Linked DNA regions of Caenorhabditis elegans. The protein of the gene in region 1 interacts with the protein of each later gene in a biochemical or structural test. Each region holds a gene or a part of one and is shown on either strand. Other genes may lie near its edges.

Region 1 (7,069 bases):
TTTTTGAGCATTTTTTTCTTTTTTTTTACAATTTTCAAAATATTTATTTAAAAAAATAATTTTTTCTGATATTTTGTTTTTGAATCAGTCAAAACATCGAAAAAATTGCGATTTTTCGGATTTCGATTTGAGAAAAAATTGTCAAAATCTTTGTTTTTGCTTTTTTGAGTTCAAAATCTTAAAAATTTCAAGTTTTTCGAATAAAAACAATTTTTTTTCGATTTTTCGAGTTCAATAATCTAAAAAATTATGTTTTCCGAATCAATCATTTTTTCCGATTTCCCATTTTTCCTTTTCAGTTATTAAATTTTTTTCGATTTTTTCTCGAGCTTCCAAGAATTTTTTAAAAAAACTTATATTTTTCTTTACTTTCTAATTTCGGGGAAAATAAAAATGTTGTAAATTTTCTTCTTTTGAATGTTTGTCGATTTAAAGTTTTTTAAATAGTTTTTTTCAAAAATCGAAAATTTTAGTATTTTTTTCTAGTTTTTTTTTTTAAGTTTTTTGTTGATATTTTAGAAAAAATCCACAATTTTTTTCTTTTTTTAAAACCATTTTTAAAATATTTATTTTTTAAAAATCTATTTTTGAATAGTAAAAATCAAAACAAAATTCAATTTTTTAAATTTAAAAAATCCGATTTTTCAGATTTCGATTCGAGGAAAAATTATTTTTTTATAATTTTTTTTCGCTTTTTCAAATTCAAAAATTTAAAAATTTAAACGTTTTTCGAATTAATTTTTTTTTGTTGCTTTTTCCAGTTCAAAAATCTAACAATTATTAAGTTTTTCGAATCAAAAAACGTTTTTTTTCCGATTTCCTTGTTCCGTACTTAAAGAACATATCGACTTTCTCCTTAAAAATAGTCCGTTTCGTATCAAAAACCATATCCTCCTCTAATCTCTGCAAACAAATTGCCACGTGTTGCCGAGTCTCCGCAGAAACCGGATATTCACACAGTTCGGGTATCTGACTTGCCACGTCAAGCAACGCGAGCAATCCACGTTCTTCCACAAACTTCCACGACCATCCACGTGGAATTCCACCGTCCATGTGCATCAGATTTTTCAGGAATAAATCGATGCACGTCTCACGCTGAACTGCACCAACTTTCGGGTCCTGAAGCATCTCTTGAAGCTCCAAGAGCACACGAATTATCCAGATTTTATTGGCTTCTGCCACCTCTGGATCCGGCTTCATCTCCTTTTGCCGATCCATTTTAGCCATTGCATTGAAGACACGTTGCACCAGAATTCCAGTGGCATCCACAAAGTCTTTTGTGGATTTTTTGCACATTAGCCGGCACACAAAACGGACGGATTTTGGGCCATCTGGGTCGTGCATAGCTAGGAATTTCATGCATCTGACGCTATTTTTGATGGTCTCGTCGAGAATTCGGATTGCGGTTACGGTAACCTCCTCGTTTTCCGATGCGTCGTTGATTAGGTTCAGGACGAATGGAACAAGTGCGCCCTGGAAATATGGAAAAATTAGAATTTTTTTTTTGGGTATTTTTGCAGGAAAATATTCAAATTCGGGATACTTTGATAAAATTAAAATTTTGAAAAATAATTTTTTTTAAACTGATTTTTTAAAAGCTAAAAAGTTGAATTTTCAAATGTTTCTACAAAATCGGAAAATTGGCAAAAATTAAGGTTTTCTCGTTGTAGCAAAATAAATTTTAAAAATCTACAAAAAATTACAATTTTCAGTTTAAAAAAATTTCTTTAAAAAAATTAAAATTGAACTTTCGACAATTAAATTTAAGGAATATCGGAAAAATTTAGATAAAAACTGCAAAATTTTTCGAAAAACAATCTGAAAATTGCTCTGAAAATCTAGAAAATTCAGTTTTTTTTTGCATTTTTTTTTCAAATATACGGTATATTTTTCAATTTATTTCCATTTTTTAAATTTTTTTTTAAGTTCCATTAAATTTTCCCAGTAAATGTAGATTTTTCGTCCAGCTTCCAAAACTATACCTGATTCCAAACTCCTGTTGCTCCGGATTCAGATTCTCTGCACAAAACCAACAAGTTGTTCAACGCAGTCATTTTCTGTTCGGTGTCCTTCGCCTCACCACGGAACGCTAGCTTTTCCATGTCAGTTACCTGAGAAAATTTCGGGGTTTTTCAATGAAAATTCATTTAAAATTCGTGGTTTCAGGTCACAAAACCAACCTTATTAGCCAGTGAAGTGGTCTGCTTAATCTTATCATTGTTGGCTTTTACGAGACGCTGAAGAACTTCAACAATTCCTCTGAAAAATAGAAATTTGAGTGAAATTATTGAATTTTTAAGTGCTTAAAAGTGGAATTGTGAGAAAATCTTGGGTCTGCTAAATATTTAGCATACCCAACTTTGGTCTGCTAAATATTTAGCATACCCATCTTTGGTCTGCTAAATATTTAGCATACCTATCTTTGGTCTGCTAAATATTTTTCTTTGGGTCTGCTAAATATTTAGCATACCCAACTTTGGTCTGCTAATTATTTAGCATACCCATCTTTGGTCTGCTAAATATTTAGCATATCCATCTTTGGTCTGCTAAATATTTAGCATACCTATCTTTGGTCTGCTAAATATTTTTCTTTGGGTCTGCTAATTATTTAGCATACCCATCTTTGGTCTGCTAAATATTTAGCATATCCATCTTTGGTCTGCTAAATATTTAGCATACCTATCTTTGGTCTGCTAAATATTTTTCCTTGGGTCTGCTAAATGTTTAGCATACCTATCTTTGGTCTGCTAAATATTTTTCCTTGGGTCTGCTAAATATTTAGCATACCCATCTTTGGTCTGCTAAATATTTTTCCTTGGGTCTGCTAAATATTTAGCATACCCAACTTTGGTCTGCTAATTATTTAGCATACCCATCTTTGGTCTGCTAAATATTTAGCATACCCAACTTTGGTCTGCTAAATATTTAGCATACCCAACTTTGGTCTGCTAATTATTTAGCATACCCAACTTTGGTCTGCTAAATATTTTTCTTTGGGTCTGCTAATTATTTAGCATACCCATCTTTGGTCTGCTAATTATTTAGCATACCCATCTTTGGTCTGCTAAATATTTAGCATATCCATCTTTGGTCTGCTAAATATTTAGCATACCTATCTTTGGTCTGCTAAATATTTTTCCTTGGGTCTGCTAAATATTTAGCATACCCACCTTGGGTCTGCTAAATATTTAGCATACCCTTCTTTGGTCTGCTAAATATTTAGCATACCTATCTTTGGTCTGCTAAGTATTTAGCATACCTATCTTTGGTCTGCTAAATATTTTTCCTTGGGTCTGCTAAATATTTAGCATACCCAACCTCCTCAAATTTTGAAAAAAAAATTTTTTCGCTGATTTTTTAGCTGCAAATTTGAAATTTCCTACGTTTTTCTTCAAGATAAATTTTTAAACATGTTTTAGTGGATTTTTCAGTTTCATTTTGCATATTTTTTCACAGAAAAAAGTGAGAAAATTACAAATTTAAAACTAAATATTTAGAAAATTTATAAATGTTGGCATTTTAAACAAAAATTGTGAGTTTCTGTAGATTTTTAAAAGTTATTTTGCTATTTTCGATGAGAAAACCTTGATTTTTGTCAATTTTTCTATTGGCATGCTATATTTCGGAGAGAAACGTCTGAAAATTCTAATAATTTTTAGCTTTAAAAATCAGTTTCGGGAGGTTGGGTCTGCTAAATATTTAGCAGACCCAAAATTTGCAACTTTTGCATTTTTCACTGAAATTTGGTCATAAAAACTTTGAAATATAACTGGAAAGTGCCAGAAAAAATTATTTTTCTTTTAATTTTCATCGGTTTTCGCCTAGTTTTTCCACGCACTTATCATTTGGCGAGAGCCTCAGAGCCTCTTTTGCGTCTTGAAAAGCTGGCCCAACATTTCCAAGCTGTTCACGAGCCAGCGATCGTCTGAAGAGAGCTTTTACATCGGCCCCGTCGAATTCCAGAGCTGTAAATTTAGGTTTTTCAGCAAATTTTCCAGGTTTTTTGTAAACCTTTCGTGCAATCCGATTGTGCTCCTTCAAAATCGTCTCTTTTCAGCCGAGCCATTGCTCGATTTCTGTACAAAACCGGCCGAAGAGCCTTGTCTTCGTCAGTGGTGAGTTGGAGAGCTTCAGTGTATCTGGAAATCAGTTTAATTTCAGTTTTCCACTGAAATTTCAGAAAAACCAACAATTCATCAGCTTTTATATAATCCTGATCCTTAACTGCAGCATTTCCCTCGTCGCGGATCTCCTCCGCAGTCTGTACTCGAGCAACCATTGCTGAAAACCAAAAAAAAAAAACTATAAAATCATTATTTTTGTCAGGAGATACTATTAATTCGACGGATAAAAGAGGAAAAATCGACAAAAATGGTGTAAAACTGATTAAAATATCATTTTTGAAACTAATTTTCAAGAAAAATGCACTTAAAAGCTGTTTTTATTGAGTTTTAGAGTAATTTTCCCGAAAAGTTTCCCGCAAAAAAAAATTAACAAAAAAGGAAAAATGCAAGCGCGCTCCACCGGCACGTGTTAGAGAGTGTGAAGCGCAGACTATTTTTTGGAGGGATTTCAAATTTAATTTTTATGAAAACTTTGATTTTAAAGCTAAAACTAACGAATTTTGGAGATGTATAACATCCTAAAATTGACTTTCTTTTCTTTTTTTTTGAAATAAAAATTTTCACTGCAAGAAAATTTGTTAATGTCCTGGAAAAATGAATGAAGAATAACGGTAAAAAATCCAGTTGCCGCGGGAGCTCCGCCCAGGTGCTCTGGAGCTTTCGAAAAGCTCCCAGGCGGGAGAGATATCCTAGGGAATAGAAGAGAAATAGAGATAACGAGTGGGAAAAGTTCGGGAAAAGTCGAAAATATGTGGGGTTTCTGGAAAAATCCGAATTTATATAGTAAAAAAAATATATTTTTAGGTTTTTTTCAGGGGATTAGAGGATTTCAGAGAAAAAACGGAATTTGAGTGGATTTAAACAAAGGAAATCATCATTTCAGGATAAACTCAATATCCCAAATGGGTCTGCTAAATATTTAGCAGACCAAAGTTGGGTATGCTAAATATTTAGCAGACCAAAGTTGGGTATGCTAAATATTTAGCAGACCAAAGTTGGGTATGATAAATATTTAGCAGACCCATAAAACATCGTTTCAGATTTTCGTCATGAAAATAATTATATGGGCAACCACAAGGAAAATTTTTTCTCAAAAACTACGGCACTCGGATTTCTCAAAAACTACGGCACGAACCGATAAATTTTCTTGAAATCAGAAAAACGTGTGCCTTTAAGGAGTACTGTAGTCGTCAACTCCTTCAAAATTTCTGGTATATTTAAATATATTTTTTCACGTGGAATACTAGAGTTTCTAAATAAATATGTACTGCCGTGAGGCTCTAGTGCTATACCCGGCGGCTATGGGTCGGCTGAAATATTTCTGGAATTTTTGATATTTTTTTTTCGGAAAAAATCAAAATAAAAATTTCATAGTATTTACATTAAAATAAATTATATAAATTCAAAAAAAGGACCTAAAATTCATAAAAAACCTAGAAATTCTTAGGTTTACTAAACCCACTAAACCCGAACTTTATGCAAAAATCGATGAAAAACGAATAGAAACGTCTGTTCAGCGGAAAGGGCAGTGTAGTAGTGTCCGGCCCCCGACGGATAGTGTAAAATTACGGCGGAATCCGCAGATCCTCTCCGGTGGTGGGAGCCCTTGCTGTTTGAATAATCTGTCTGCGTCTCTCTTCAGATCTTATAACTTTTTGTGTGCATGCACTGTGAGCAAATCATGTGAAGATTTCCTATAACTTGAGACTGTCTTGGGGTGGAAAATGGGGGTAAAATAATAATGCACAAAGGGGGTCTCGTAGTACAATTCGAAAGGGAGAAAAGGAGGAAGCAATGAAGGAGGAAGCAATGAAATGAGTCCCGCTTATTTCCTTTCGATGTTCGAAAAAACAAACATAATTCATTAGAAGACCAGCCACTGAACCAGAGCGAACTCCATGAATTTGAATTTCGTGCAAAATTTTTAGAAAAAAGAAATTTCAAATAACTCATATTTGAACTTCTAAATAGAAAAAAAAAATTGTTTAAATATTTTGAAAAAAAAAAATTTAAATTCGAGTTTCCCGCCAAATTTATATGAAAAGTTAAAGTTTGTCTAGATTTTTAGCATATTGTAAACTTTTTAAATAGAAATTCGAATTTCCCGCCAATTTTTTCTCGAAAGCCTGTGATTTTAATTTCTCAGCTAATGAGAATTCATATCTTACAAGGTTTTGCAGCCACGTTCAATTTGTTAAAAATTTATTCAAAACCAAGTTCCCCGAAAAATAATTATTCAAAAAAATAAAAATTATGTGAAATTAAACGCAGTCCATCCGGTGGAACTTTCGCTACTTTTTCTCAAAGTCACATACAAATCCATTGTTCGTTCGGGTTTCTTCATCAAAATCTTAGTGTCAATAAATTGGGAGTACGGTGGGTTACGTCCGTTGAAGAATTCCGCGTAAAGTGGTACGATACTGTCATAGCTGCCCCATACCAGCATCACAGTGTTGATATTGATTTTTGGATCTGGAATTTTGGATCTGGCTGATTTATAATTTTTCAGAACGGTAGGTTTTCTACAGTAAGCACTTCAGTATTCGTAATTTCTTTTGTACTCCTACAGTACACTCATGTATGAAGTTACTACACTGTACACACACATACCACACGTTACAGTAGTCATTACAGTGATTCTCTAATCCCTCACTTCTAGAATATACCAACAGTCTTTAGTGCTTTAAATCGCACAAGTCCATTTCAGCCTAAAGTGGTACGGTACCGTACTCCTAACCGTATGGAACAACGCAACTTACTGTTATAGTCCAGAGTAAAAAGTTGCCGAGTCGCCGTTTCATTCATTGACCGTGTCGCAACTTGGATAGCTTTTATATGAGCATTGGTGATTTCCAGTATTTCTGCATCACTAGTTGCTTTATGGAACCACGAGGCAGACGTTGTTGCGATAAGGCACAGAAGGAAGGTAAATGAAAGCATCGGAG
Region 2 (7,138 bases), on another chromosome or scaffold:
TTTTGATACTTGAATAAACCTGTAAACAATGCTTCAGAAGACTATCTGAAAAAATGCGCTCCATTTCGATAGCACCATTTTTCAAGAGCTATTTAACTTTTGCAACTCGCATTACATACGTTCTCGTTTCCCATGCTAACAGAAAATTAAAAGTATGTTGAAAAACACATTTTTGAATAATAAAACATTATGTGCCAATGTAAGTCCGCTTGTTAAAATTATCATCTTCTTTAGATATTTTTTGAATGGCATATAGGGCATTTATTTGAAAAATTTCATTTTTCGCTTTATAAAAACATCGTAAAATGAAAAACAAAAATACTTGATATAATTACCGAATAAACCCTTCGATCGACTCAGTTAAATATCAGTGTTGTATGTGTGTGTGTGTGTGTGTTGTCATCATTTCGTTTTCCGATGCTTCCTCTTCTTCTTCTCCATTCCGTATTACACAAGACTTGGAGGGGAAGAAATGTCGGTGGCAAAAAGAAAGAAGAGTTACGGATATAAGAATTGAAGCAATCGTGCAGTGTGTTTTTGTGTTGTTTTTTAAGTTGTAGAAGTATCAAAATATAGAGGAATTTATGAAGTCACCGCTCAAATGTGAATATGTTAACGAATCTAAAAATGGTTCGGTAACCAGTACTAAAGAAAATATGGTTAAACTGCGACAGCCACTAGTGAAATTTTTCCACCTGCCACTTAGTCAAATCTGTTGAGCTTAAACTGGCTCGTCACTGAGGCTGGGTAATACAGGAAGTTTGGTTCATTGTACAGTTGGGTTTACATTTAAAAGAATATATCACAGAAAATCAAAGAACGTGTAATTTATCTTATCATCCCGGAAATTTCTTCCAACTGACCCTTGGCTTTTGTGTATCTCTTATTACAATCAAAAAACCTCGTCTCCTCCCGGTGGAACCCAGAAAATGCTGCTGGATGCTCCAAGCGCTCCCACATGCCTTCAAACTCCTAGGCGCCTGGAGATAGTGTTGCAATCAAGGAGAGCGCGAGACGAAGAATCAGTTGTTACTTTTGTCTGGGTCTCTAGGGGTTTCGTGATATTCCCGTGTTGTCTTACAGCATCCGCGAATTGTTTTCGTCAGGATGAAGTATGAGATTGTGGGATTTGGAGAGAAGCTGATTTGCTGGAGAAGCACAAAAATCTGAAGAAAATGTTTGAAGAAGATAAAGCAAACGGAAAGACTATCCAGTTACATACATACTATCATGAGAATGATTTATGAGCCTTTTCGTAAATTTTTAGACAGATACTATTATCAGGAGACCTTTTAAAGCAAACGCGACAACTTCATAGTAGTTACCAAGGCTCGAAAAATTGATTGGTGCAACTTGAAGTTCGAATGAGTAGAATTGATAAGTATTACAGGTGCCTCCAAATCGATTGTCCGCCACAATGATATACCTCGAATCCATCTGATCAAAATTATTACTGTAGCATTGAATCGCAGTACCGTAATCAAATATTAAATATTTTTGCCCCCCTCTCCTCTACGTATCAATAAAAATAGTCTTAAAACTTACTTCGACTCCAAAGTAGGTTAGTATCAATTTTGCAGACTTTATTTGTAATGCATTTCTAACAAGGAAATTTTTACATTTTACCCTCAAACTTCAAAATGAGACATGTTTCATCTGAAGTGTTTTAGATTATGTCACGAAAGGTATGTCACTGCAAAATTTTAAGCAGCAATACTTTTCTCTCAACCCCTAAAATATCGATCTGAAATTGTCTCATTTAACCACTACTTTAGAGACCTGCATAATTGCTCTAAATGCTTTTTTGCAAACTTTGAAAGTTTTTCAGGAAGTGTAGGTAAACACTCCGGGAGGTTTTTAAAGAATTGTGATTTTTTTGGAGAATTGGTCTAAAAATTTTTTTGATTTTTTTTTTGAAAGAATTGTTATAACAATTTTCTTGATTTTTTTGCAAAAAAAATTAAAGGAAAACTGCACTGAAACAATTTCAGATCAACAATTTTAGGGTTGATATTAGAGCTTTGCCGCTTAGAATACTGCAGTGAGTATTTTCGGTTTTCACTGGTCTCTGTAAAAAGAGTAATGCAAAGGCAAGTTAACTAGGTCGTAAATGTATTGATTTGCTTAAAATCTGAAGATCTAGTGGTGAACCGTGGAAGATTATCAAGAGGAGGCTGAAGATCTGTTTAAGAACCATTAATCAAACTGGTATTCTATTTTCACTGGTTGTATGTAAACATTCTATCTTATTCCTTTTATCACTGTTCTGCACTTTCCTATAAAAAAAGTTGACCGACCGTACTCTCTGAATTCATTTTTCCCGATCTTACCAACTCCCGATCTATCTCTATCCCTGGTTTTTTCTTCGTGCTCCAATGGAATTCTTGAGACTTCCACTATCTTCTCTGGCACCCTCCACTACGCGTAGGCGTCTCTCGCTTCGTGTATTCCCGGGAAGCCGGGTTCCCGTCTCTCCCGCCGCTGCCGCTGCCGCACACAGCTTTACACCTCGTAGAATCCCCAAAGAGGGGCGTGGCTTGCGGGTGCCAACATCCTCCTGCCGAGGAAGAAGCAGGCACTCATCACTCGCATCATCAACCTCGACTAAGGGAGCACCACATTAGTTTTGAGGTAGAGAAACCATTTGAAAGAAGCGAGAAATCATGGAGCACGAGAAGGACCCAGGATGGCAATATCTCCGCCGTACCAGAGAGCAGGTTTTGGAGGTGAGTATTTATTTTTTATTTATTTATTTTTCTTTCATTTGTCTTTATTGTTATGCTCATTTCTATAGAGTAAATCGTATAGTACTCCATAAGTATCTAATTTTAACAAAACTGAGCATTTATTTTTGAAATTCTAGATTTTTAACATACAACTGAGTTAAAGTCTGCCATTTTACACTTATAGATTTTTTAAATTCAGGTAGAAGATTTGAGCTTGCCTTGTAATCCTTGTAATCAATGTTTATTTCTGTTTTCTAATTTTTCATAGATTTAGCTTCAAGATCATCTTTCCCTTGAAATCATTGAAATCTTCCTTTCTTAAATTTTTGCATTGCACTTGGAATTTTGTGACACATTGTGCTGCAGTAGTACTGTATTTTGAGACGGCACATTTATTTTGACTACACCACAAGCTTAACCTTGATTTTACTTTTTGATTCCATTCCATTCATGGGTCTAAAGTGTGAAGCGGTTTAGACCATTTTTCAACACAAGTTGGTATTCTTTAGAAGTGATATATTTCTGAATTCTGATCTCTTTTGTACCATTATTGTAATTTCAGGATCAATCTAAGCCTTATGACTCCAAGAAGAACGTCTGGATCCCAGATCCAGAAGAGGGATACCTTGCCGGAGAAATCACCGCCACCAAGGGAGACCAGGTCACCATCGTCACCGCTCGCGGAAATGAGGTTCGTTTTTAAGCTAATGATTACGGTTTTCAATGTAGTGTGATTCAGGTCACCCTCAAGAAGGAGTTGGTTCAAGAAATGAATCCACCAAAGTTCGAGAAGACCGAAGACATGTCCAACTTGTCTTTCCTCAACGACGCCTCTGTCCTCCATAACTTGCGTTCCCGTTACGCTGCTATGCTCATCTACGTAAGTTTCATTGAAACTTAAAGTTAAGCATTGAGAATCATTCATATTCTTCTTCTAAATTCCCATAAAATCCCGAAACTCCTTCCCTCTATCTTCTTTTCTTCTCGTTTTCAAATGTTTCTCTCTATCCCATTCTCTCATCAATTGAGTGGGATGAGGCTATCTCTGCCTCTCTTCTGAATCTCTGAACCATCTTACATTACACTGTGGATGACGGGAGCCCCACAGGCTCCCTTGCATCAGATACTGCCATTGGGGATGGCAAAGAAGAGAGAAGGTATTGTGAGGATATATTTTTCTAAGAAAAAACGTTTGAAGAAAAGAAGATGAAGAAGATCTGCTTGATTCATTGCACAAGTTAGAAGTAACAGGGGTCTATATTTCGAAGAACTTAAAGGGAATGCAACTGAACATAAAATTAAACAAAGGGATTGAATCCTGCAGTATTTAAAAATCGAAACTAGAATGTTTCCTATTTCAGACCTACTCCGGACTTTTCTGCGTTGTCATCAACCCATACAAGCGTCTCCCAATCTACACCGACTCTTGCGCCCGTATGTTCATGGGAAAGAGAAAGACAGAAATGCCACCACATTTGTTCGCTGTCTCTGACGAAGCCTACCGTAACATGCTCCAAGACCACGAGAACCAGTCTATGCTCATTACCGGAGAATCTGGAGCCGGAAAGACTGAGAACACCAAGAAGGTTATTTGCTACTTCGCCGCTGTCGGTGCCTCCCAACAGGAAGGTGGAGCTGAAGTTGATCCAAATAAGAAGAAGGTCACCCTTGAGGACCAAATCGTCCAGACCAATCCAGTACTTGAAGCCTTCGGTAACGCCAAGACTGTCCGTAACAACAACTCATCCCGTTTCGGAAAGTTCATCCGTATCCACTTCAACAAGCACGGACGCCTCGCATCTTGCGATATCGAGCATTGTGAGTTACTTTTTGATTTATATTCTAGCATAGCTCAATAAAAATTATGCAACTATTGTTTTAAACTATAAATTTTGCAGACTTGCTCGAGAAATCTCGTGTCATCCGTCAAGCTCCAGGAGAGCGTTGCTACCACATCTTCTACCAAATCTACTCTGACTTCCGTCCAGAGCTCAAGAAGGAACTTCTTCTTGACTTGCCAATCAAGGATTACTGGTTCGTCGCCCAGGCCGAGTTGATCATTGACGGAATCGATGACGTCGAAGAGTTCCAACTTACTGATGAAGCTTTCGACATCCTCAACTTCTCTGCCGTCGAGAAGCAGGATTGCTACCGCCTCATGTCCGCTCACATGCACATGGGTAACATGAAGTTCAAGCAACGCCCACGTGAAGAGCAAGCTGAGCCAGATGGTACCGATGAGGCCGAGAAGGCATCCAACATGTACGGAATCGGATGCGAGGAGTTCCTCAAGGCTTTGACCAAGCCACGTGTCAAGGTCGGAACCGAATGGGTATCCAAGGGACAGAACTGCGAACAAGTCAATTGGGCTGTCGGAGCCATGGCCAAGGGTCTCTACTCCCGTGTGTTCAACTGGCTTGTCAAGAAGTGTAACCTCACTCTGGATCAAAAGGGTATTGATCGTGATTATTTCATCGGTGTGCTCGATATCGCCGGTTTCGAAATCTTCGACTTCAACTCCTTCGAGCAGTTGTGGATTAACTTCGTAAACGAGAAGCTCCAACAATTCTTCAACCATCACATGTTCGTCCTTGAACAGGAAGAATACGCCCGTGAGGGTATTCAATGGGTCTTCATCGATTTCGGACTTGATTTGCAAGCGTGTATCGAACTTATTGAGAAGGTAAGATTGAATTGAAATTTTAAATGTATTTTGATCAATTCTTATTTTTCAGCCACTCGGTATTATCTCCATGCTTGATGAAGAGTGTATCGTACCAAAGGCTACTGATTTGACCCTCGCTTCCAAGCTTGTCGATCAACATCTTGGCAAGCATCCAAACTTCGAGAAGCCAAAGCCACCAAAGGGAAAGCAAGGAGAAGCTCACTTCGCCATGCGGCACTACGCCGGAACTGTGCGTTACAACTGCTTGAACTGGCTCGAGAAGAACAAGGACCCCCTCAACGACACCGTTGTCTCGGCAATGAAACAATCCAAGGGAAACGATCTTCTCGTCGAGATCTGGCAAGACTACACCACCCAGGAAGAGGCCGCCGCTAAGGCCAAGGAGGGAGGTGGCGGTGGAAAGAAGAAGGGAAAGTCCGGATCTTTCATGACCGTCTCTATGCTCTACAGAGAGTCTCTCAACAACTTGATGACTATGCTCAACAAGACTCACCCACATTTCATCCGTTGTATCATCCCCAACGAGAAGAAGCAATCTGGTATGATCGATGCCGCTTTGGTTCTCAACCAGCTTACCTGCAACGGAGTGTTGGAAGGAATCAGAATTTGCAGAAAGGGATTCCCCAACAGAACCCTTCATCCAGACTTCGTCCAACGTTACGCCATCCTTGCCGCCAAGGAGGCCAAGTCCGATGACGACAAGAAGAAGTGCGCCGAGGCTATCATGTCCAAGCTCGTCAACGACGGATCCCTCAGCGAGGAGATGTTCCGTATCGGTCTCACCAAGGTCTTCTTCAAGGCTGGAGTTCTTGCTCATCTTGAAGACATCCGTGACGAGAAGCTCGCCACCATCCTCACCGGATTCCAATCCCAAATCAGATGGCATTTGGGTCTCAAGGACCGCAAGCGCCGTATGGAACAACGTGCCGGACTTCTCATTGTTCAGCGCAACGTCCGTTCCTGGTGCACTCTCCGTACCTGGGAATGGTTCAAGCTTTACGGAAAGGTCAAGCCAATGCTCAAGGCCGGAAAGGAAGCCGAGGAGCTCGAGAAGATCAACGACAAGGTTAAGGCCCTCGAAGACAGTCTCGCCAAGGAGGAGAAGCTTCGCAAGGAGCTCGAGGAGTCCTCTGCCAAGCTCGTCGAAGAGAAAACTTCTCTCTTCACCAACTTGGAATCCACCAAGACTCAACTCTCCGATGCTGAGGAAAGACTTGCCAAGCTTGAGGCTCAACAAAAGGATGCCTCCAAGCAACTCTCCGAGCTCAACGATCAACTCGCTGACAACGAAGACCGTACCGCTGATGTTCAGCGCGCTAAGAAGAAGATCGAGGCCGAGGTCGAGGCTTTGAAGAAGCAGATCCAAGACTTGGAAATGTCTCTCCGCAAGGCTGAGTCTGAGAAGCAATCCAAGGATCACCAGATCAGATCCCTTCAAGATGAGATGCAACAGCAAGATGAAGCTATTGCCAAGCTCAACAAGGAGAAGAAGCATCAAGAAGAAATCAACCGCAAGCTGATGGAGGACCTCCAATCCGAAGAGGATAAGGGTAACCATCAGAACAAGGTCAAGGCCAAGCTTGAGCAGACTCTTGATGACCTCGAGGATTCCCTTGAGCGCGAGAAGAGAGCCCGCGCCGATCTTGACAAGCAGAAGAGAAAGGTCGAGGGAGAGCTCAAGATTGCTCAAGAGAACATCGATGAGAGCGGACGCCAACGCCACGAT
Region 3 (8,114 bases), on another chromosome or scaffold:
TTGGGTCTCTTGTTTTACGAACTTCTTGAATCTCTTCACGGGTACGGTAGCTGGTTCCTGGGTCAGACATAGAGTGTCCATGGTATCTATAGGTGGCCATTTCCATCATAAGTGGTCCTTTACCACTGTCACAATATTCCTTAGCCCACTTGGTAGCCTCGCGAACAGCGAGAATGTCCATACCATCAACCCAGATTCCAGGAACATAGTCTCCTCTAGTATAATACTCGGTAGAAGCAGATGAACGTTCAGCAGTAGTTCCCATTCCGAATCCATTGTTTTCGCAAACGAACAGAACAGGAAGATCCCAAAGTTTAGCCATGTTAGTCGCCTCGAAAAGTTGTCCTTGATTAGCGGCACCATCACCATACAAAGTAACACATACATTCTTTTGTTCACTGAAAATAAAATAAAATATTTAGATGAAAAAATATGAGTTGTTCTCGTAAAAAAATACATCAAAATTTGTTAACATACCGGTATTTCATGGCCAATGCAACTCCAGCTCCAAGTGGCTGTTGTGCTCCAACAATTCCGTTTCCTCCATAGAAATTCTTTGTGTACATATGCATGGATCCTCCTTTTCCGTGAACATTTCCGGCAACTCTACCGGTCAATTCAGCAAGAACCTCGGTTACGGTAGCTCCAAGAAGCCAGGTCCATCCGTGACAACGGTAAGCAGTGATGACGGCATCTCCTTCTGTCATTGCAGCCTTCATTCCGACGGCACAAGCTTCTTGACCAGAGTAGAGATGACAGAAACCGCGGATTTTCTTCTCCTTGTACAAGTTTCCAGCAGCAGACTCCATGCGACGAATGACCTGCATGTCACGGTAGTACTTGAGAGCATCTTCTCTGTTCAAGGTGACAGAGGTGTTTGGTCCATTGTCAAGTTTATGAAGTTTGCATGGCTTTGTGTGGAATGATACTTCCGTGCTCGCAAGACGAACTTGCTGTGTGCGGATTCCACTGGCAGTCAAGGATTGAAGTTGTCTCGCGAATAAAGACATTGCCGTCGACCAAATACGTTCCAGATGTACCAAGCTACTGAAAGCAGTAAATATATTTCAAAAATAAAAATTAATCGGATTTGGGATGACTGGGAACGTATAAATATTATAAGTTATTGACATGTAACAAATCACAAAACAATACGACACCGTTCGTTATAAACCTACAGAAATTTAGTCATTCCAGGTTCAAGGCTAAAATCAGAATATGTGAAGAAATTCACAAAGAATAAAAATATAAGTATGCGGATCGGAGACCGCAATAGAAGCCAAAATTTAGAAAATAAGTAAATTAGTATAAATTTATTCACATTCAAGGCACTACTCGTGTTTTTTAGGTTTGATGAAAGAGGGCAAGAATACCAACTTTAAGGAATCCATGCAGAAAATGAAACCGAAACCGAAAGATTAGACCATTGAGAGACCAGAAAAACTTATAAAATGAAAGGAACGCGTGAAATTTACAGACATTTTGCACATGTGCAATGGTCAAGTACAATAAATACAAAATTGGGTAACAATAGAATATGATAGAAAATTATTTCTTTGAATTTCTTTTCTGGCAAATCCATTCCTGAATCTTTGCCTTCAACTCAGAATCGGGAGAAAGCTCATTGTGCGACAAGGGAGCACGATTAAACGGATTATTGGGTGTACTGAGAAGATGCCTCTCGATGACTGCACGATCCATCACGTGTCCTGATGGCAATTTGACAGGATCAACCATAATTGCATCCATAATAGGATCCTTGAACTCTTCTGGTACATCATCATACTCTTCTTCAAGCTCAGCTTTTGCCTCATACTCTTTTTTAACATCTTCGGCCAAATGTTCGAAACTTTCGAGTTGACTGAATCCAACAATACTATTCTTTCTCATGCATTCAATCGCATTATGGAAGAATTCAGGACTGTAGGTACGCTGAAAAATAATTAAAATAAATCTCTTTGAATAAACAAATGTGTTAACCAACCTCGTCGTATGCTATGTATTTAACAAATGCAGGCATATTCAGCTTTAAATAGATTGAGATCAGCAACGATACAAACTCCCGTGGTTCCCATCCATAACTTCTTGGATCCTTGACTTTCAACTCGGAGGCCTTGCTACCAATGAGTTGCGATAAATTGTGATTCAACATTGCAGCAAGTCTTTCGCCGAGAACCGGAGTACGGAAAGGTTCGGGTGAGTTTACGGTAATCGATAGTAGCAATTTAAGATTACTTTTGGCTGTTCCAAGCCATCCCTTCACTTTACGTTTTGCCTCCTCGTACACGCCGAGATCCTGATTACGGATTTCTTGATCTGTGTTGTCCCATTCGACTTTGCTGAAAATAAAATTTATATTTTTAAGTTATCATTCGAAATAGTCTTACTTCGCCATCTTTTTCTCAACATCATGGATACTCTTCAAACCAGACAAGCTCTCATCTATACACCATGTTGCATCGTTAATCACCATATTGACAAACCGAATGAACTCTGCTCCGCATTCTCTTGCCATGTCCATAAACTTTCCTTTGTAGAACATATCTTCCTCCATTTTTTCCAACATGTACTGGATATTTCCACGAACGTTAAACTTTTCATAAAAGTCACCATTGTCTTCGAAATCCGAGTAGAACTTTATCATGCACATCAATAAATTTTCTTGTGCCATTCGAAGTCTGACCACGTTGAACCATAATGGAGGTTGAATAGAAGACAGCACTCTCACCAGTTTGGAAACGAGAAATGGGCTTTTGATGTAGTGATATTGTGTGAAAAGGACCGTCAGACGGGAAATCCAATCCGCATTTCTCTCCATGAGCAGTTTCATTCCATTGGAAATAGCGAATATGTAAAAATCGAGAGCATCCTCTAGAAAATATTCTGGGAGCGCACAAAACATTTGTGATACTTCAGTTGGAAGTTGACTGTCGTCTCCGAGCAAATCCAAGTTATCACAAAGCAAATTCAAAATGAATTTCATCTGCTTATCGACAAAATCCATAGAAGATGCCATTAATGCAGGATCTTGAGCTTGTGTCTTAACACATAAAAGATGACGAGACATGAGCTTCCAGTGTTCAGTCTCATAGTTCAACTTCTTTTCCACCTCAGCTCTCTCGAATCCTGACACAGTATTTAGTTTTTCTTTGAGCGCATTGATCTTATGCTTGAGCTCCTTAAGGTGTCGAGAGTATTCACTTATTTGATTCATCAATGGAGGAATAACGAGCCTCTGTGCTGCAATTGTCAGGAAGAAGCAGACTGTAGAGAAATGATATTCATCTGGACGATCTGCTGGAAAAAGAAAACAAGTTAATTTTTTGAGAAAGAAAAATGAAACTTACCGAATTGGCTAGCAAAAGCGACTGCTCCTGATTCGTCCATTTTGAGACGAGTCTCCTTGGAAATATTTATAAGCGAACTCGGTAAAAACGGATAATCTACGATAATTTTGGACAAGTCGATTTTCTCGGAAAACATGTACATCACGGACAAAAAATTTGTCATATAATGATCACACAAGACATCTGAAGGATCATAATGTGAACGAGTGCGAATGTCATTGGTGCTTATGATGGTGGCAATCCATCTTAGAGTTTTGTTGCGACTTCCTTGATCCGAAGCAAGCGGAAGCATCAATTGATGAAGCATAGTTCGAATTGGATCCATTCTTTGGAAATACAGTTTCTGCTCAGTGTTGACTGATCCATCATATTTTCTTGCATCTTCTTCACAATCCACAAAAACTCGATGATTTGGACGCCTTGCTGATGATTCGAGGCCGTACGAAAAGAACGGTCCTAGGAAGGACATTAAACCAAACTCGCGTCCTTGTATTTTTTCGGACGGCGTTGGGAGAAAATCTTCTCGATTAACAAGTAGGTTACTCAGTGGGCGAGGTCCGTTTGAAGGGAGTCTGATACTGAGAAGCAAGTTCATCACACGAAGGATCTGACGAACAATTTCGTCCTTATTGTCTTCAAAGCGTTGACAAATAATTCCGCTCCGCAAAATCCCGAAAATTGGATTAAATGTTTCTGTAATAGCGTCTTCATCGCATTCATCTGTACTTGCAAGGTATTCAACCAATGTTCTTAGAAAAACATTTGACACCGTATCCTCCAGAAGTCTTTTTGTGAACACCAAACTAGCATGTTGGCTGCGAAGTTGGCTCTCCAAGTAGCCTCTCTGTATCATCACAAAAACTGAGAAAACTGCTTTCCTGGTAGATTCGAGAGTTTTCTTGTAGCAATTTGAAGTACCGCTCTGAAAATTGTTAAATTAAAAATAGAACTATATTAGATAGAGTACCTTTCCAAGCTCATGATGGCAACGAACAAAATTGATTAAGAGAAACTCGATGGCGTCTTCTTCACGACATCCAGCAATGATATCAGGGTCGATGAAATTGAACGATCTTGACAGCCCCCTTCTTGATCCATCTTGAGATAAAAGTACAAACTTTGTGATTATTTCGGCAATGTTCGATTGCAGACACTGAGGAGAAACATCAAAATTCAGATTTTGAACATCGATTATCGCATCGGCGTAACGAAGCATTCTGTCATCTGATTTACCTTCACAGTCAAAGAGACTTGTGAGGAAGTCTTTGCTTTCAACATCTGCCTGAAAAAAGAACTAATCGCCTATGAGTATATAAAATGTCAGGCAAAAACGCACCACAGAAGCATCACTTATGTCCATCGGCTGCAAGCCTGCTTTCTCGTCTTCAATCATCTACGATTTCTGGAAATTCGTGATGATCACGTGATTTTGATAAGTAGAGTAACGATAAAGAGAATGGTGAGAGGTCTGATAACAAATATTTTACGGTAATGGGAACATTTATGAGACGGAAAAATTAAACGCAGAGGATTGTATGAAAACAATATTGGACTAGAATTGTGTATAGAGGAAAACATAAAATTATTTTCGAGAGCAAAAACTGTAGGAAGACATTTGCACCGCGCGCGCAAGAGATAGAAAAATCGAAGGAGCAATGCAGCTGCAAAGACGCTGACATTTCGGCCTCTCAATGAACATGCAGTGGAGCGCGTTTGCTGCACTACCGAGACACCACATTTTTGCAGGAGAGAAACATCGGTAGAAAACTGAATTCGGAAGAACGAGTGTTAAATATTGTATCTTTATGATTCTATTTTCAGACACCACTTAATTTGAATATTTTTAGAGCAATAAGAATTTGAAGGGGCAGATAAATTAAGCAACAAAAAAGTATATAAATGAACGAGACTGTGGATGGAACGCACATTTTTGATTTTACAAAATTTTATTCTTTAATAAATATTGTTTTTTTTAAACGAGAATAAACCTCACTTTCAATAAAAATCGTTTAGTTAACTATAGTTTCAAGAGGAAAACAGTAGCGCAACTCAACAATCGATTGTGTACAATTGAGACCCGAGGGACGTCATTGTGAGACTCACCCAATTCTAGACATTTATAGGCGGGTACCTGGTCCACCAGCAGATGTCCTTCAATACGATAAAAAATCAATCAATACACACGTTTGTTGCTACTCTGATGCAATCGTAAATATTCCGGGATATGGCCAGGGTACTGTAGGATTACCGTGGATTATTGTACTTTTAGAAAACTATTGAAACGATCAAAAAAATTCATATGGCCATATATGGTTTGCCTTGAAACTTCTATGTAATAGTGTTGTGTTTTATTCTTCAGATGATAGATTTTTAAATTGATTGAAAATTGAAAATAAATTGAACTTTTTTATTCCAAGAATACAGTAAAAGTTTAATAAACGAGTCTGAAAATCTTCAACCAAAAGAAATCAAAGCATCCGAACATCTTTTTTCACTGTAAAATAACAACCACATTAAATTCGAGTGTTTTTTTTTTGGAAGTTCCACATTGGAACAAATTGAAAATAAATTAATGTTTATGTTATTTCATAGTTAAATAATCTAATATTAAAATAATGAATTAATAATGAGATCAGCCAAGATAACATGTATGGTTTTAATGTAAATGTAGTCTAGATATTTAACTAATTACGCAACACGGTTTCTTTTTGTCCGTCGCCAGTTCCTTTGTTACAGAAATTTCCGAATTCACTTTTGCCAGATTTCCACCTTTCGGAATTGATATTGTAGAATTATTAGTGCTCTCCAAGTATTTGGCGTTCTGGAGAAGTTTGTTAAGAGAGTTTTAAAAATAAAAAAGCATACCCTTGCTTCAACCAGTTTTACTATTTCATCAATATCTGGCCATGAATCTGATTTATCGTCTTCAATGTGCTTGTAAAGAATTTCTCCTGATTTATCCACAAGTACAGTACCACCTTTTTGAGAAATGTAAGAAACTGAGTCTTCTGAGCTTGATGCTTCTTTCGCAACAATTGAATCTCCTTCGACGAGAGAGGCTTCCACAACCTGAAAATTTCCAATTTATACACAATGATTGCTTATCCTTCCCACGTTGCAATTTGATATCAACTTTTTTGCTCAACGTTCGCCAAAGAATAAAAATTTGTTTGAATTTCCGACAAACTGTTACTTTCAACAAACTCTTTTCCAATCTTGATCTTGAAGCTTGAAATTTTGATGTGAATGTTTCAAAGTTGGATAAGAAAACTTTGGACCATATTTTTTTTTCTTTCATTATTTATTATATTTTTGCCAAATTCATGAATTTATTCATATTTTTTGTTCAAAAAGGAAGTTAGATAAAATACCTTTTGTCCCCTTTTATGAAGATAATGAAAATAAGTCATAACTCTTACCTTGCAAAGCGTTCTCCATCCATTATATTCCAGTGCAGACTTTCTATTCATTTTTAATTGTTCTTCAGCCTCATTCATATCATATAATTTACGAAAAGGAACTCCAATAAGCTTAATGTATGCACCACCACTTGATCCAATTGGTGGTCCCTTTGTCAATAAGAATACATCACATCTTAGTTTCCTTAACTCATCAATTCTGTTATATAATCCCAAAATATGCTCATTAACTTCTGGCCTGTTGAATGCTCTGAAGTTTAACCATTTTTATTTGGAAAATCAGAAAAACAAACCGAACTACAATAATGAGCACACAATCAAAAGCACTTCCTGTAACATAATAAGAAATAGTTTTGCTTTGAAGTCCGAGAATTCCAGAATCTGAAAGAAAAATCAAAATAATACATTTTGAAATACAATAAGGAGTACCTTCTGGAAGAGTGGTAACTGCACTTTTGACTGGTCCAAGCGTCTTTTCCAGTTCATCATCAATTTCACGAAGAAAGATGTCCCAAGCTTCAAACGACTCTCGTAGTGCTTTACCCGAAGCTTCTGGAAATTCATTTTTTTTAATTTATAGAATTTTGAACCAAATTGTGAGGTATAAAAATTATGAGAATTTTTCATTTGAACATTTATTCTGATCCTCTTTTATAGCTACAGATTTTTGTATTCAGAGATCAAATTATAGTTTTTCATCAAAACATTCCAAAAAATCTTTTCAAAAACATCTGTTCTATAAATTTGAAATTCGTAAAATTAAAAAATTCCTGAGAAATTGATAACTTTCCAAACAATAAGATAAATTATGTTTTATATCAGAAACCCATTCGATTAAATATTTTTCTCTGAATCCCCAATCATTTGGTTTTTGACTTCCACTGAAAAAATGTGTCTAAATGTGTATACCCATATAATCCTTTGGCTAGATATTAATAAATCTGATTACTCGTTTCCTATGTTTGGTAGTAGCCATGATGTCTAAATAGCAACAGGAACTACATAAACGTCATTTTCTAAGAATTGATGCTCCAGGTTTGAAGCCAGACGTTAAATCTAGAAGTTTTTCCAGGGCATCTTACTGGCTTATTGAGAAAAGCTATTATGTTCACAATAATCAAAAAAATAATTTGAACAATGAAATCATGGATTACCCCCAACACAATACCACCCCCATATCTTACTCATCGCTGGATCATCTTCCCATTCTGTAAGTCTTTGTAACAACTCTTCCAATGATTTCACTTTGAGCACATCAAATAATTTTGCAAGTTCCGGGCAGAATTCGGTAACGAGAAATCGGTTTTGAACGTAATTTGCAACGAAAACGGAACGACTGTTTTGTTGG

The links.
Region 2: the proteins of unc-45 (region 1) and unc-54 form a complex in vitro, tested with the Caenorhabditis elegans proteins (one study listed by BioGRID).
Region 3: of the proteins of unc-45 (region 1) and ufd-2, one has a biochemical effect on the other in vitro, tested with the Caenorhabditis elegans proteins (one study listed by BioGRID).

What each region holds. Positions count from the first base shown.
Region 1 is NC_003281.10:488,759-495,827, reverse strand, and holds the start of unc-45 (UNC-45/Cro1/She4 central domain-containing protein), read right to left. Parts: upstream 4,282-7,069; 5' UTR 4,280-4,281; coding exon 4,191-4,279; intron 4,140-4,190; coding exon 4,012-4,139; intron 3,966-4,011; coding exon 3,839-3,965; intron 3,422-3,838; exon of another isoform or gene 2,993-3,421; intron 2,260-2,992; coding exon 2,181-2,259; intron 2,112-2,180; coding exon 1,983-2,111; intron 1,474-1,982; coding exon 833-1,473; intron 1-832. Other genes in the region: F30H5.5 (Salivary lipocalin), read right to left, coding at 6,376-6,596, 6,884-7,064.
Region 2 is NC_003279.8:14,858,976-14,866,113, reverse strand, and holds the start of unc-54 (Myosin-4), read left to right. Parts: upstream 1-2,631; 5' UTR 2,632-2,663; coding exon 2,664-2,726; intron 2,727-3,288; coding exon 3,289-3,417; intron 3,418-3,465; coding exon 3,466-3,606; intron 3,607-4,087; coding exon 4,088-4,544; intron 4,545-4,624; coding exon 4,625-5,409; intron 5,410-5,461; coding exon 5,462-7,138. UniProt on the Caenorhabditis elegans protein: Required for muscle contraction.
Region 3 is NC_003280.10:8,059,378-8,067,491, reverse strand, and holds ufd-2 (Ubiquitin conjugation factor E4 ufd-2), read right to left. Parts: upstream 4,752-8,114; 5' UTR 4,741-4,751; coding exon 4,684-4,740; intron 4,642-4,683; coding exon 4,315-4,641; intron 4,270-4,314; coding exon 3,348-4,269; intron 3,298-3,347; coding exon 2,388-3,297; intron 2,340-2,387; coding exon 1,985-2,339; intron 1,933-1,984; coding exon 1,549-1,932; 3' UTR 1,299-1,548; downstream 1-1,298. Other genes in the region: pdha-1 (Pyruvate dehydrogenase E1 component subunit alpha), read right to left, coding at 1-398, 478-1,047, 1,179-1,192; T05H10.8 (peroxiredoxin-like family protein), read right to left, coding at 6,028-6,168, 6,213-6,416, 6,767-7,016, 7,060-7,147, 7,196-7,318, 7,951-8,114. UniProt on the Caenorhabditis elegans protein: Acts as an E4 ubiquitin ligase mediating the assembly of polyubiquitin chains on substrates ubiquitinated by another E3 ubiquitin ligase. The elongation of preexisting ubiquitin chains preferentially targets ubiquitin 'Lys-29' and 'Lys-48' residues.